2 linked regions of the Lepisosteus oculatus genome follow. The protein of the gene in region 1 interacts with the protein of each later gene in a pairwise test. Links are inferred from orthologs where the notes say so. Each region holds a gene or a part of one and is shown in the gene's direction. Other genes may lie near its edges. The genes, in order: early estrogen-induced gene 1 protein and skap1.

What was found.
Region 2: the proteins of early estrogen-induced gene 1 protein (region 1) and skap1 interact in binary tests that used the Homo sapiens proteins (3 or more experiments, as listed by UniProt). The two-hybrid records come from large-scale screens. The link is inferred for Lepisosteus oculatus from reciprocal best matches to the Homo sapiens genes EEIG1 and SKAP1.

Annotation. Positions count from the first base shown.
Region 1 is NC_090719.1:15,284,580-15,291,654, forward strand, and holds the start of early estrogen-induced gene 1 protein, read left to right. Parts: upstream 1-3,894; 5' UTR 3,895-7,075. UniProt on the Homo sapiens protein: Key component of TNFSF11/RANKL- and TNF-induced osteoclastogenesis pathways, thereby mediates bone resorption in pathological bone loss conditions.
Region 2 is NC_090723.1:9,185,363-9,192,959, reverse strand, and holds the start of skap1 (src kinase-associated phosphoprotein 1), read left to right. Parts: upstream 1-4,512; 5' UTR 4,513-4,756; coding exon 4,757-4,796; intron 4,797-7,597. UniProt on the Homo sapiens protein: Positively regulates T-cell receptor signaling by enhancing the MAP kinase pathway. Required for optimal conjugation between T-cells and antigen-presenting cells by promoting the clustering of integrin ITGAL on the surface of T-cells.

The DNA of each region.
Region 1 (7,075 bases):
GGACAAGCTGCCAGCTTACGGCTGGATTCCCTTCCTGTTGAGCTCCACGGCGACCGTGACCGTGTGTGTGTGTGCGTGTGTGTGCGTGCGTGCGTGTGTGTGTGTGCGTGTGTGTGTGTGTGTGTGTCACAGGACTGATTTACAGTTTCCTGTCCCCACGCAGGCCCGGCCCTGTTGCCGTGACAGCCACACAAGGAAAGCTTTGGTTGTTTGCTCAGAAACACATGGCTCCCACAGGTACCAGCAGGCCGGTAGTGCTCCTTCTAGATAAGGTGCAGGGCTGTGGGCCGGCGCCGCCTGTTGTTTCACCTCGCTGGACCTTGTTCCACAACGTGAAAACCAAGGGGCCTGTGTCGAAACTGGCAATCTGGAGAGGAATCCTTAGTGTGAAGTAAACTCTTGATAAAGGTCCAAGTATTCACTGGTAAACAAAAACATCGATTTTTTTTTCAGTGGATTTCTGGTGCCTGTTGAGCAGTTCCTGATTTTATTAGCGAATTCAGTGGTTTAGACTCGGAGAGCAGCTGCAAGTGTTTTGCTTACAGGTCTTGTTTTGGTTATGAATTTCAAAGGATCTCCTTTTGTGGAAAAGCAATACAGGGATCCTTTAGCTATTGCCATTTAATATCTACGTGTGTGCTTAAAGCTTAGTAGGCCTTTACTGTGACTCTGCACTTTTTTTGTTGATATAGAGGGAGTAATGTTATAGTTAGGATTGAGCTGTGACCTGGGACAGATTATAGTGAACTTTGCACTGGAAGCAAATATGTACATATTGTCTTTTTCTTTCTTAAGCAAAATCAGATCCACTCCTCCCCACCCCCCTAAAACTGTGGCTATTAAGGTCCAGAAATCCAGCATTGGCAGTCTGAAAACCCCGTCCTGAAAGAAAGGAGACTGCAGGATCTCCCCCAAGTGCACAGTTTAGTAAACCTGCCCAGGAGTAGGGGGTCTTTGTTTTCAAGCTCGCTGTCGCTGGAGCCTCTGCTCTTGCTTTTTGTTTCCTGTCCTCTTCTCTTACTCCTGTATATACTCTGCCTGCTTCTAGAGCGCTGCAGAGTCACAGCACGGAGGAGGATTGTGACAGGAGGATCTTGCTGTGTCTTGGTGTTGATAGTGGAATCGAACGTCTGATTTGACTCGTGGTCTGTAACATCGGAGGCAGCAGCGCTGTTGCCGGTGAGCGTGCAGACCGCTCTGGGAAAGCGACGTTAGTTTGGTTCTGCTCCAGCAGCTCGGTGAGAGCACAGGCCCGCTGGCTGGTGAGGAGCCAGCTCCTCAACTCCTCGCAGCTGTGCCGAGTGAGCAAGGTGGTCCTGTTCCAGGAAGCCCCTGGCTGGCTTGCGCGGCGCTGGGGAAGAGCAGGCGGGTGAGCGGCCAGGGAAAGGGCTGGTTCATGGAGAGGGGCGCACGTCTGGGCTCACGCCTGCGTATGACAAGTGAAAAGGCCTGTGAGAGCTGAGCGGTTTGTTTTGGCCTTTTTCTGAAACTGACACGCATGCAGCTTCTCATTTGCATTCCCCCCCGTCTCCTAATCTCCCCAGCTGCTTCTCGGCACCACAAGCATATTTGAGTCTTGCCCGGCTTTCAAATCCGCAATTAAGTCTTTAATTGAAAGGGGCTAATCGTTTTCGGTCTTGGACGCTTTTTATTAAGTTTGCGCCACCGAAGTGTTACTGTTTGTGATACTTCCGAAGTTACTTAAAGGATCAACTTCATAAGAGCTGAAAACAATTAAAAAGGCCAAATGAAGTAGTTTATTAACTGAAAACCCAGCAGGAACATGAGCTTGAATGATCTGAAATCCCCAGACACCAGATGTAAGAACCCTGGCTTTAAAGTGTTCGGCATGCTGTTAGCCTGTAGGAGTTTTAAATTCCCTTGCTAAAATTCAGCCTTGCCGTCGTTCAGGTGACTCCTATGAAGAGAGAGAAGAAGCATCTTGTGGTTTAGCAACACTGGTGATGCCGATAAGCCCCAGTTTGTAATGTCAGACCCTTGCCAGGGGCGTCATTGTCTCAGTATCAGTGCCTGTTCACACCTGCTACTGCTGAGCATCAATCCCCAGCAGGCACGGGCGGGGTCACGGCATCACAAAGATGACATTCTTCACGGTTTCTCCGACTGGACCACTCCTCGACCCACATCGCCCAGCTTGAGACTCGGGCTCAAGTGTTGAGTTTTGAATGGAGTTCTGGAAAGTGTTTTCTTCTGCAGCGGCTGTATTTTTTCTTTTGCCACATCAAAGATTTCTAGAAAGTTCCCGGGTCTGACCTGCAGAGCTTACAGCTCTCATGGTTTGGGTCGAGCGTACCTCTGGCAGGGAACTTTACTTTGTTTATGGCTTCTCAAAGTTCGTGTTTCTCTTTCTTTGTCATGCGGCTCCCATTTCCCGGAGGGGCTGGGTTTGGGAAATTCTGGATTCTTTTGAGTTGGGGGGGGATCGCAGGGAAGTGGGGGACTTTTTTGCCTGGACAGTCCCGAGACTTCCATGGCAGCTGACTCGGAAGAGAACCTGGAGAAGCTGGAGGAGTGCCGGCACTCCGAAAGATCCCACAAAAGCTGCTGACTTGTCATCGTGACTTATTGAATTTGGGAAGAATGCGCCGGCCTGCAGCTCCCCAGCCAGCCAGCCAGCTGCGCGCTCAGTAGAGGGATGAAGTTCGGGATCCGATGTTAGATGTAGTTTTGCGGTACATTTCTCTGGCTAAAAAAGCTTTTAATTTGTAGTGGTTGCTGGCAGCCATCTCCTTCAGTTTAGCCCCCATCTTTCTGAAGCGGAGCACTGTGGCCTTTCACCCTGTCTTGTGAGCCTGCCCGTGTAGAGGAATTTTTCTGGGGATTTCTGTTTGTCTTCGGCTAATCGCCTAGGGAGCAGATTGGATACAGATGCTGTCTCGGCCTGTGCGTGTGTGCGCGCAGCCCTGTTAGTTTAATTGAACGTGCATGTTCGTGTCAGTTTGTCTCCGAGTGCCTGTTTTCCTATGTTTTTCGGGTGTTTGCCTGCCCAGTGTGAAGCCTGGTTTTAACTTGAGGCGGAGCTGAGGGTGAACTGCTTCAGAAGAGCAGGCTATGCAGGAAGCTCTCAACAAATGTGAATAAGAAAGACCACGAAAGAAGAGTTAAAAAAAATGGGGTATGAATTCTCTGAATTCAATTAAAATCACTTGTTTTTTTATTTTTCCTCCTGGCTGAGAAGAAAGAATCCTTCACCCTCCGTACTTCCCTAAAAATACAAGTAAAGCCTGTAAGAGCCACGTCAGCACTTTTTTTTTGCAGAGAGGATCCAGCTACTAGCTCGTCTCAATGTTATTCGCTCTGTGATCCTTCTCAGGCTGCAGGTTGCTGACGCCAGGGAAACGGAACGTTTTCCGAGTTTGATCGGAGACACCCAGTCTCCAACTTGGAGGAATGATCCACATGAAATCGCTGTTTACTTTATTTCTTTGGCCACCACTTATATAAAAGAAAGCTTACAAAGGTTTAGATTGGTGATTTCAGGCTGTGTGCTACTCCCTGTTAAAATGTTCAGGACGCTACAAGTTGAACATTTCATTCTTAGCTTCCTTGCAGAAAAATATTAACCTGGCAGTTGGAATAGGATAAGCTGGTTACGAATTATATAACAGCTTTCTAACTGACATCGCAAATATACCACAGATCCGCAGTCCTGCCTGGTTTCCAAAGGTGGGGACCATGATCACATGCTGTGACTCAGCTTGGTTTAAGCTTAACTGGTACATTGCATAACAGAATATGCCAGTTCAGGCTGTGTGTCCAGTGCTCAGGTGCGAAGCTGTAACTTGATAAAAGCCAGACTGCTGCATACCAGGCTGGTGTAGCTGCTGTTCAGGTATACAATAAAAGGAGGAGTGTAGCTGTAATTGTGATACCTCACAAATGTGATTGAAAAAAATGCCATTGCTTGCTACGTGTTGGTGCGTCTGAATCGTTTATTTGCAGCGGCTCCGTAGTCATCTCCAGCCAGCCAGACCAAAGGAGGAACTGACAGCAAAACAGTCGTTTATTTTACAGTTTATTTGGGCATACGAGCTGCACGTGTGAGCAGTGGTGTGCAGAGGTCAGGGCTCCAGACTCGTATCTGGAGGGTTGTGGGTTCAAATCTTCACTCGGATTGCTTCTGTAAAAAATCTCAGGTTTGTAAATCGGTTCAAATGCTTTTGGGGAAATATGCAGTTTTATTAGATTTGTTTTATTAGAATGGGAAAAATACCATAAATATTTAATAAGTGTGTGTTCTTGTTCTTATATTATCTAAGCTTAGATATTCTAACAAGTTCTTCAAAACGTTGCTTGTCCAGCTCTTGTTGAAGCATACGAATCTATTGACTCTTTAGGAAGGGAAAGGATATTTAATTTGAACCCGCATTCATGTTTTCTTTAAAAGGTGAGCTCTGTGCTGCATGGAGAGGAGGGAGAGAGACGAGGTGGAGGAGTGAAGTCCTATAGAGACAGCTGTAAAAAACCAAGTGGAGAATGGGCTCTTTGAGCGCACACTAGTAATTTTGAAGGCTGGCAGACGGGAAACCTCTTCTTCCCAATAGCAGGCCTATTATTAAGGCACTTTAAACCTCAATGAAAGTGCTGTGCAGTCCGGCACTCACGTACGTAATAAGCAAACATTTCTGAAAGACTAAAAGGCTATTTCCTACAGAACAGGGCATGGGATGTGGCAGCTTCATTTTAAACAGTAAAGGTGCTAATGCTCAGTGTTGTAGGACTGTACTTCATGGACTCACATACAGAATGGGCTGTGAAGCTAGGAGCATATTTTTTACAGATAAAACCTGTCACTGTCCTGTGGAAACCCATCTGCTTCATGAAAAGCTGGCACAGCAATCAAGAGCAGCAAAACAGGTGAAGCTTCTGAACAGTGGCACATACCTACACTGGTCCCCAACATCAGTCCTGGAGTTTTTTACATGGGTCGTTTTGTATTTGGTTGTAGCAATCAGAAGGTCTCTTATAAAGAGAAACGCTGAGCTAGAAACACTTGAAAGAGGTCCAAGGTGCTTATGTTGACACATCACTTAAATATAGCAATTAAAAATGCAAACAAAATGTTAGGTTATGTACCTCTTGGTCTTCAAGATCCTCAAAAGATATGAACAAAGTCAGCTCAGAAGATTTCTTCAGAATAAACACAGGCGCGCACAAACTGAGAGCTGAAAACGGGAGGCATTGTTTTATCCAAAAGTATTGTGGTCGTATGGAACAAGCTACAGTAGTTGGGTTGAAGTTGATATCTGGTTTCTCTCAAGCAGTGGTAGGATTCTTCTATTAACTAACTGTTAAACAAGCAAGACGGGACGAATAGTCTCCTCTGTCCTCTAGTTTGTAGCCTTTCTAATATTCTTAAAAAATGTAGTTTTTTTTTTGCTGACCTAGGTTCTCTGCAAGGAGGTATCAAATCATTTCTTATTACGTTTCCAGCAGGTGAACACCCCCTCTTGGGTTTTCAGCTCCTTTGTGTAAAGCAAAATTGTTCCAAATTCCTTTCCAACAATCGGCCCATTCAGGGCCTGCTATTACCTTTCCCCCAGCGAAGAGCTTAACGAGCAGAGAGTTTCAGTGTGTGGGAGAGGGAGAGGGGAATGAGCTCGTCTCCACCTGGGGACACAAGTACTGTAAATCCCCAGCTTCACCATCTCGGTCCTGTCTCCGCGCATCGTTCTGGAGTGGACCTGCCCTGTGCTTTATCAGGGTCTGTGCAGGTGCAGACGCTGGACGCTAGTTAAAGTCCTAGTCCTTTCCGTGTGCGCTGCAGGGCTTGGCAGTGGCGTTGTGACGCACTACACTCAACGTGTTGGCGTGGGCGGGGGGCCGCAGGCCTGATCGGGCCCGGCAGGCCCGTCCCTCCTCGAGGAGTGGTGTCTCCGGCAGGCGTGGACCTTACAGAGCATCTGGCCGCAGTTGAGCATGCGGAGAGGGGAAAGAAACTGAAGCTAGAATTCAGGCAGGAAGTCAGCCATCTGGAGACTTCCACCACGGACGTTGCGGAGAGAGATTCTCGTAGGCCGTGTTACTGGGGGGCCTCTGCAGAGCTCAAGATGGGCTCGTCCAGGACGGGGCGTGTCTTGCGTACCCTTGTACCTTGCGGGGTTCTTGTTTGAGGTTGTGATAATGGCATGAGCGGTGTGAAATTTTAAGGTGCACGCCCCCCACGTTCTACCAGTTTTCACTTTAGAGAAATCGGTAAATATCCTGACCTGCCTGCCACTGAGAGAGAGACCCTGGAGGCAGGGGGGCTTAATAGTTTGGCCATTGAGCCTATTTTCAGTGCAGTGTTTACAGCATTAACCTCATGGTTATTTTAACCCTTATAAAAAAAAATAGTCATGGTTAACAAACGGTGCCCCCTGTATCCTCCTTGTGTCCACTGTCTGCAATATTCCTGTTTTTTCACACCTCAGTTACTACTGATGCTGAACCTCTCGATATGTCTTACTTGCTGACGTGTGAGCTGAATAAGCAGGAGTTACTGGAATCCCTCAGCCCTGTTACGCAGGGACAGGTGAATTTGCTTGAACAAGGCAGTCCTTTTGGGGTCAAGCGGCTTTGTGAAACAGGCTTTCATAACCAAGAGATCAAAGGTAACCAGGGCCCTGAGATCAAAGCTAACCTGGGCTGTCTTTAGAAAAAAAGGAAACTCTAATAACTAGTCATAACAGGCCCGAATTCCCCTCTGTTGGACGAGCCAGTTGTAGTTACGGTTATGAAATGTCAAACTGTTTAGATTTAAAAAATCAGTTATGCAACTGGACTTTGTTAAACCCGCTTGCAGGGTTGTGGTTGCTGGTAACGTACACTTGGAAGAGCTCCTTGGGTGTATTTTTGAGAGTTCTCGAGAAGAATGTCCATATTTGTCTGTGCATCCCATTTTGTTTCCTAAATGCTTTTTACTTGAACTTGTTTCCTTCCTTGTTGGTTGGACCTGATCAGCAGTTTTCAGAAGTGTCACTGCCTGTGTCTGGCATCATTACCGTGATCCATGTCTTTAAAGGCACAAGGACAACAAAAATGACACAAGGGCTGCACGTGAAAGGAGGCTTGG
Region 2 (7,597 bases), on another chromosome or scaffold:
AAACCTATTACTATTTCAAAATAGATCGGCGGCCCCTTTAAGAGCTCGCCTGCGCTGTAACCAGAGCCAGAATTTCCTCTGCACTTCAGAACAGCTCTCCGGCCAGAGACAGCAACGGTCGCCCCCTAGTGGGGCCGGCGGTGTACTTCACACTTCCCGTCTTGCAGGGCGCCCGAATGAGATCCCGGCAGCCTTCAGCCACAGACAGTCATCACTAGCCTGCCCTGGACATTCAGCCTGAGAGTCACCCAGGCAGCCACTGATCTACGGCTGTCTGTGAGCGTTGTTTTCTGCCGCTGACGACTGCAGGGTCTGTGCCAGCAGCGCAGATAGTAAACCCAGAGCTTCCAGGCGAGCCCTGATTGGGACTGGCCGCCCCAGGCCCGACTGGAGTCCTGACCCTGATCCAGATGCAGGTTCGCAGCTACAGCAGGGCACCGGCCTATGCGAAATGAGGACGCCCTAGGAGGACTGAAGCCCAGCCTCCCTGGCACGAGCCTCGGGACTCCTGCTCGGGCCCACTGGAGCGCGTCTGAAAGAGCGCCAGCTCTCCCATCAGCCTGGGCGGGACGTCTGCGTGTCTTGACCCTCCCCCCCAGACTGACCCATTCCTTCCTTATCGGCCCGCGTCCAGCCAGGCCCGAGGAGGCCTTATCGCCAGGCAAGAGCCTCTTCTGCCCTCTCACAGCAGAGAGACGGCATCTGGGCCACCTGGGCCTCTCCCGCCGCCTGCTCTGAGCGGCTGCGTCCGGTGTTCACCTGGGCCGCCCAGGCAGCCAATCACGGCGTCCCGCTCGGGTCACCATGGCAACAGCTTCCACCTAACCTGGGTTTCCGAGGAGAAACTTTCCGAGCTCGGCCGGCACCGAAAATAACCCACATGCTTTATTTTCAGAAGATAGGGGGTGAAATATACATATATACTCAATGTGTTTGTGCAGAGAAGGATTTTAAAGGTTTATGTGCGATGTGTCCGAGCTAAAGGAAGGGGCCCCATCACCAGACAAGCTGAGCTATTTTGAACTGTGCGTTGAGGCCTCCTGAACTGGACACGGTCACCTGCTGCGTTAGGAAACAGCAAGGATGTCGTTCTAGACTGTGACTGTGACACATTTCTGAATTATGATTAAAATGCTCACGCTGCTTTCATCTTCCTCCTGGCCTGTGTGTCTGGGTCAGGTGACAGGGTGAGGCAGAGGTGATGGCGAATGCAGAAGACCTTTCATTAACATGTATATATTCTTCACAAACTAACTGGCTTCTGTGTCTATGGAGGACCCACGACCCGGGTGACGAGTGAGCTCCTGTGCGCCGTGGCGTGGGCAGCAGCAGACCTGCTCCACCCCCCCACCCTGTGCCCGCTTTGGCGTGGAGCTTAATCCGTAACCTGTGGGGCTAAAACTTCATTAGCGCCCAGTCATCGGCGTCTCATTTAATTACCCAGCAGCTTAACGTGAGCTTAAAACAAATGATTTCATTACCTTAAAGGATGGACTCGGGCGCTGTGCAGCGCGATAGAAAATGAAGTCGCGTTAATTAAACCACCCCGTTCGTGTTTTAATCACGCGTCTTCCGGTGATTTGACAGCGATTCTGAAATTCTGGTTCGGGTAGCGGGGCCGGGCTATATCCGCGCCGAGGCGGAAAACAGTCAGCTTTTCGCACTAAAATAAACCGTGCCGCCGATTTCAGATTTATTACTGCTGCTACTGGTACTTATTACCGATAATAAAAAAAAAGCAATGTTTCAAAAAGATGCCTTTCACGTTGCCCAGCGCCTCAGACAACGTCTAAGCACATTAAATATGCATTAAAACGCTGGAAAGCACACGGTATAGGTGCATGGATGGAGAACAGATAACATATCGCCATGGGTAGTGTCACCGCCGGCTCCCCTCTCGGGCACCCGGCCCGCGGGCCTGCGGGGTATCCCGGCCTGGGGTACGCCACGGCCAGCCCCGGGGTGGGCAGAACCGAGCGAGTCGAGATGAGAGGCAACCGTTCGCTGCACCAAGGCCTCGAAAGGTTAGCTAACATTTGTTAAACACACTGTTTTATCAAAGGGCTGAGACAATAATTGAGACAGGAGCTGAAAGCGCGATAATTCTGTTGACGTAAAGATACGCCTTCAGCAGCTAATCTGTGTTTAAGTGAGCGATATCCAGAGCTGAGATATTACTCATTAGTCACTTGCGCCCATTTTACCGCGTGTGATGTGCCGCAGCATGTCTGAAGAAGGAAGGAGGTTTATACAGCTAGGATTACTTTTAATTACGGGTATTAAAATGGAAGGCAACGCCATTATAGGCTACTACCGCCATTATTGTCGTTGCCGTCGTTACCATGTGTATGACAACATCGAATTGACAAGGAAAAGCTCCCGCCTGTGACAGGACCGCACAGTTCGCCTGTAATAGATTGAGCGTTGAGTGAGGAGGAGATTAAGATTTTGCCCCAAAGCGAGCAGCACCACCTTAGATTTGTAAAGAAAAAACGTTCAAGTTAATCCGTTGTAGCTCCTATGCAAGCTGAACTGGAAAATACCTCCGTTTTTTTTTATCACAGACAATTTATGTAAAGTACTGCGATTAGAATTACCTATTAGGCTTCACTTCCACTGATGTACAGGCATTTTTAGTATTTAGTATTTAGAGTATTGTAAAACCAAAAGTAGTTTTCTGTGCAGAAAACCGCCTTGCAAGCAAGCAAGGGGGTCTCTCCCCCTTCACAGTTTGGGGAAACGGTGTGCAGGGCTCATTGGGGTTCCCAAAATGCTCAAGGACTGGTAACCCTGAGGAACTCCTGTCTAGTTAGGGAGCAGATTAATCATTCATAAAGAGGACCTTTAAGACAATGAATCCTAAAATACAATGTCTTGGATGGTGCTGGCTCAGGCCCTCCTGTGTCTATAACTTTTCCAGACCTGGATGTCTCTCCGCCTCAGGTGCTTAAGGAATTGAATTACACACTCCCTACAACGCCTGGGCCTGCTGCTCGTGGTCTTGATGGGTCACAGACAGGTGAGGAGCCCCGCAGGACTGGAACTGTGGGACCACAGCTGGGATTCACTGGGCACACATGCCAGGACCTTGTCCCTTGGGTGACACTGAGCCCATCCCATCAATCCCACTGATCCCACTGCTGATTCCCATCTGGGGGCCGGAAAAGGCTCGATTCCCCCCCCATTTCAGGTTACAGAAACACCAGTAGCTGCAACACCGCATCGTGTCTCTGGCCATTCAGGAGAGAAAAAATCCACATCACTTTAAGACTAGCAATCTACAGCACATGTTCTCAAACCCCTTATACAATCAGATCAAAATATATGGTGTATATATTCAAGATTGCCAGAAGTCTTTTGATGCAGTTATTCAGAAAAATATAAGGTGGTAAGCCTTCAAGATTATGTATTGGGATAGAGAACTGGTTAATATGCAGAGTACAAAAGGGTACATGCTCAAACAGGGGTGATATGATTAGCAGAGCAGCGCAGGGGTCTGTATTTGGACCACTGAGGTTTCTAATTTCTGTCACTGACCTGGACTCTGGTGTGAATAACAAATTGGTCAAGTTCGCAGATGATGTCAAAAAAGGATTAACAAGCACTGTAGGAGTTGCAAAGGGCATCTACAAAAAGACTGTTACAAAATCCCAAACTAATAACTTTAATGGCCATAGTTGCAGGTAAAAACATACATATTTCATGGAAAACACTTCGTAGGAAGCAGCTTGTGAAAAAAAGATGACATGTTCATGTTAACACATCATTTTCGTCTTCATCTTCACCTTTCGGCAGGGTCTGTATTCACCCCTCAAGTTCTGACGATTCGAACCCCCCTCTCTGAACGGGCTTCATCCCTCTGCTCTCCTCCCCACTGAGAGCGGGTGTGTGGGGGAGCGGACTGGCGCATCACCCAGGTGGGGGCCGCACGTTCAAGGATTCAAACTCGGGCGCGCCCGGGAATTAATTCGGAGGCGCGGATGAAGCCAGGAGTCTGTCAGCGCGCCGCGACAGGCCCCCCGGACTTCGCGCTCAGCTGGGGAAAGAAAAGATTGTTTTGTTTTGTTTTTTTTCCAAATCTGGAAATCACGTCTCTAAGTCTCTCATCAGGAAGCACTCGAGCGTTAACAGTTGTCTCTCAAACGGCAACTCCGACCCTTTCAGAGAATAAATATATAAAAGAGTGACGCAACGCCCCCCCCTCCCCCCGTCATCCTCCCCCAGAATCAAAACCTATGATTTAATGTCTGCTAGGAGGAGGTGTAGCAGCTGAATCTCTGGGAGGCTTATGTAACTGTGTTTATGAATTAATCGGCGCGCAAAGCAGTAAAGTAAAATGCACGCTTTTCAAGTTCACATTTTAACATCTCAACAGCTGTATCTTAAAGTGCTCGTTTTTACGATTCATAGCATCTGTACGAAGCAACAACACGAGAAGTACGCTTGCTACTTTTTCTGCAGCTGGGGGGGGGGTGAACCCGAGACACCCTGTGCACGGAGCTGAAGCGCGAGGGAGTTTTTTTTTTCTGACTAAACCCGACCCACGCGCGCCCGCTTTCAATTTCAGTTCTGCGGGGCTGGCAGGTGCCTGCGCGTGTGCGCGCCCGCGCCCCCGCCCCGGGCGCGCTCACCGGCGGAGGTGGAGAGGTGGAGGTCAGGCTCGTTCTCCCCCGTCGCCGAGTGCGAGCGCTCGCCTGCCCTGCTCGACCTGGACCGCAACACCTCTCCGCATCAGGTGGAGCAAGGACGCGCAAGCATGGACGTCGTCCCCGCAGACATTAAAAGACTTCTCGAAGGTAACTTTCAGCTTTCGTTCACTGACCTTTTTTTTTTTTTAAAGTTTAAATGTAACCTGTAGATATCCCTGAGAATTTCACATGAGCGGCTTGGGAAACACTGGAGGATTCAGCTCTGTCCCGCTGGACTCGTCGTTAAATTAAAAAACCCAGCAGCAACAGAGAATGACTAAGGACTGCTCATTTGATCTGCTATCTGCTGGCGGTGCCAGTCTAGGCTCCCTCTTTGAAAGAAATGCGTTGTGGCGACGCTGGGTTGATCGTACTGGCGACGCTGGTGGCGTGGTAGCCTGGACGCGCCGAATTAGGCCAGGAAAGCGTCGTTAGCACCGGGATGAGAACCCATTCACTGTCACGGGTGCACCCCTACAAAGCTGTAGGATTCCCATTTTGTGGCCACCCGCTCCTGACGCTTTTGGGAAATCATTTTTTTTTAAAGTATAACGTTTTCTACTAGGGAGGATAGCGGCCCCAGCCGCAGGACACCGGTCAAAAGCGGCCTAGGACAGACGAAAGGCGCTCCCTCGAGTCGTGAATCTGTAGTTTTACAGACCCCTGAAGTTTGTTCTTTCAGAGTCTGAAGGCTGGTGCCTCTTCATGGGGAAAGTAGCTGAATTTGGGCTGCTTGGGAGTTTTCAAGGGCGTCACAAGGAGTCCGATGGCGGCTGATGTAGTCGGGGCGCGGCTCGGGTACCATTTAACCCATCTGCTTGAGTTGGTGCTTGTATGGGCTGTGCTTGTGAATTTCTCTCCGAATCGTGTTTTTGTTTCCCCCTTTGTATTTCAAAAGCACGCTTAAATACTGTTACAGCATAAGAATGAGAGAGAGAGGGGACCTCGAACACCTGGGTACTCGTGTGTATGTACTGGAATTTATCCAAATTGGCATGTGCAAAAATGGCTTTAAATGGGTGAGGACTGAAACTGGCCTGGAATTAAAAGGCGCAAATGTGAGTTTTGGATTGCAGGCGATGATTTGCATTTCCGGAACAATGTGTATCAGTCCTTTGACAAGTATTTGCATAGGTCAACGGGCATGGATAACACCCTGTCAGATACGTACTGTAACAAAACAAAACAAACCCTGACGTTTGCATGTGTACATTCGGTGTAATTTTGTAATGTTTTTTAATTGGCTTTCAAGGTTTTGTCTACTGTAAAAGGCCTCGTTCCACTAGATATCATTTGGATGAGAGTTTTGAATCCAGGCCTAACTACTTAGTGTTGCAACCTCATGCCAGAATATGGGGGTGTTAATGTAGTCCTGGCCGATTTCCACTGCTGTACAATCTGACCTCCTTAGAGTTCCGTCTTAATGCAACTGGTGCAGCAGTTTTGCACTCCTCCCCTTGCTCTAGTGTGCTGTGGGGGCTGCTTGCGGCACCCAGGTGGGGCTGCAATGTGGTGGCAGACAAACTGGGTCCCCCTCCTGCATGAGAGTTGCTTAGCGATCTTTCAAGATGCTACAATCCCGCGAATGCAATAAAGCAGTGTTTGATTACCCAGTGGTGGGCATGAAGATGTGGCCAGCTTGGGCAAGAACAAGGAGATGGGGAGGAAAGTCTTTTTTTTTTGTCAAAGGATACAAAGTAGGTGGTCTACAGAGTGAGAGGGGATTTGAATGGTGAGCATCAGCTGTATGTGTAAAAGATCACACCGAGGTTGTAAGGTTTACACAGCTTTTTCTGATGGGCAGGGCTGTAGAGACATGAATGTAAATGTAAACTGACCGTCTTTGGATTTGACTTGGTGCTTCCTAGCAAAATTATTTTTGTAAATTTGTCGTGCAGGAAGAACGTGGTTCGCTCCTCACTTACTTTGGAAAGCCCCAGCACAGAGGATGCACCTGAGAAATTCTTCTCTGTTGTCGAATATGTGCTGCTTGCTGGGTAGGAGAGATGCGTGTGAAGACTCACTGAGTTGTTCAGTTTGAGACCATAAATTCTGCATTGGTGAGGGGGAGGGGAGTTGAAACATGCAGCACATCGAAAAAGCTTGGGATCCCAGCTGATTTGTTAAAAACCTGCTTTATAAGTTTACGAATCTGCGCTTTTAACTTTAAAACTTTAAAATTAAAATTGTTGAAGCGCTAATTGTTTGGGAGTGAACATACATTTCTGCTGCACTGAAGCTCTTTACTTAGAGCAGGGCACTCAGCTTTTCTTTCTGTCTCTGATCGTAAATGAACACATTATGAGTATAAGTCACAAACCCTGATTGTTTTACATTTTGATAAGTTGCTGATTGGGATGTACCAGTAAATCCCGAAGACCCCTGGCCCTTGAAGACCGAAGTTGTCCATTCTTATCTTAAAGCACTGGTTTCTAAAGGCTGCAGCAGGAAGGTCATTTGCTTAATGAAGTAATTCAGAGACGCGGGGCAGCGAAACTGACTGTACTGCCTTCCAGAACCTGAGGGGTTCAACACCTGAGCTAAGTGGACAAATTGATCGCTGATTTGAGCAACGTGGGCTTACCCACCTCCTTGGAGTGCTAGTAATAATAATAATAATAATAATAATAATAATAATTATAATAAACTTATTTTATATAGCGCCTTTAAAGGTGGCATTTCAAAGCGCTTTACAGAATGATAACAACAATAAATAAGAAGAATACACAAGATAAAACACAATGACAATACACAGAGGAGACCGTGGATGGTGGTACTAAGAAAAGCAGAGGGGTGAAGAATGGAACCAGTTAAGTAAAGGCTTTTCTGAAGAAGAGGGTTTTGAGTCTGGATTTGAAGGAGTTTAGAGAAGGTGACTCTGATATCCTTGGGGAGAGAGTTCCAGAGCT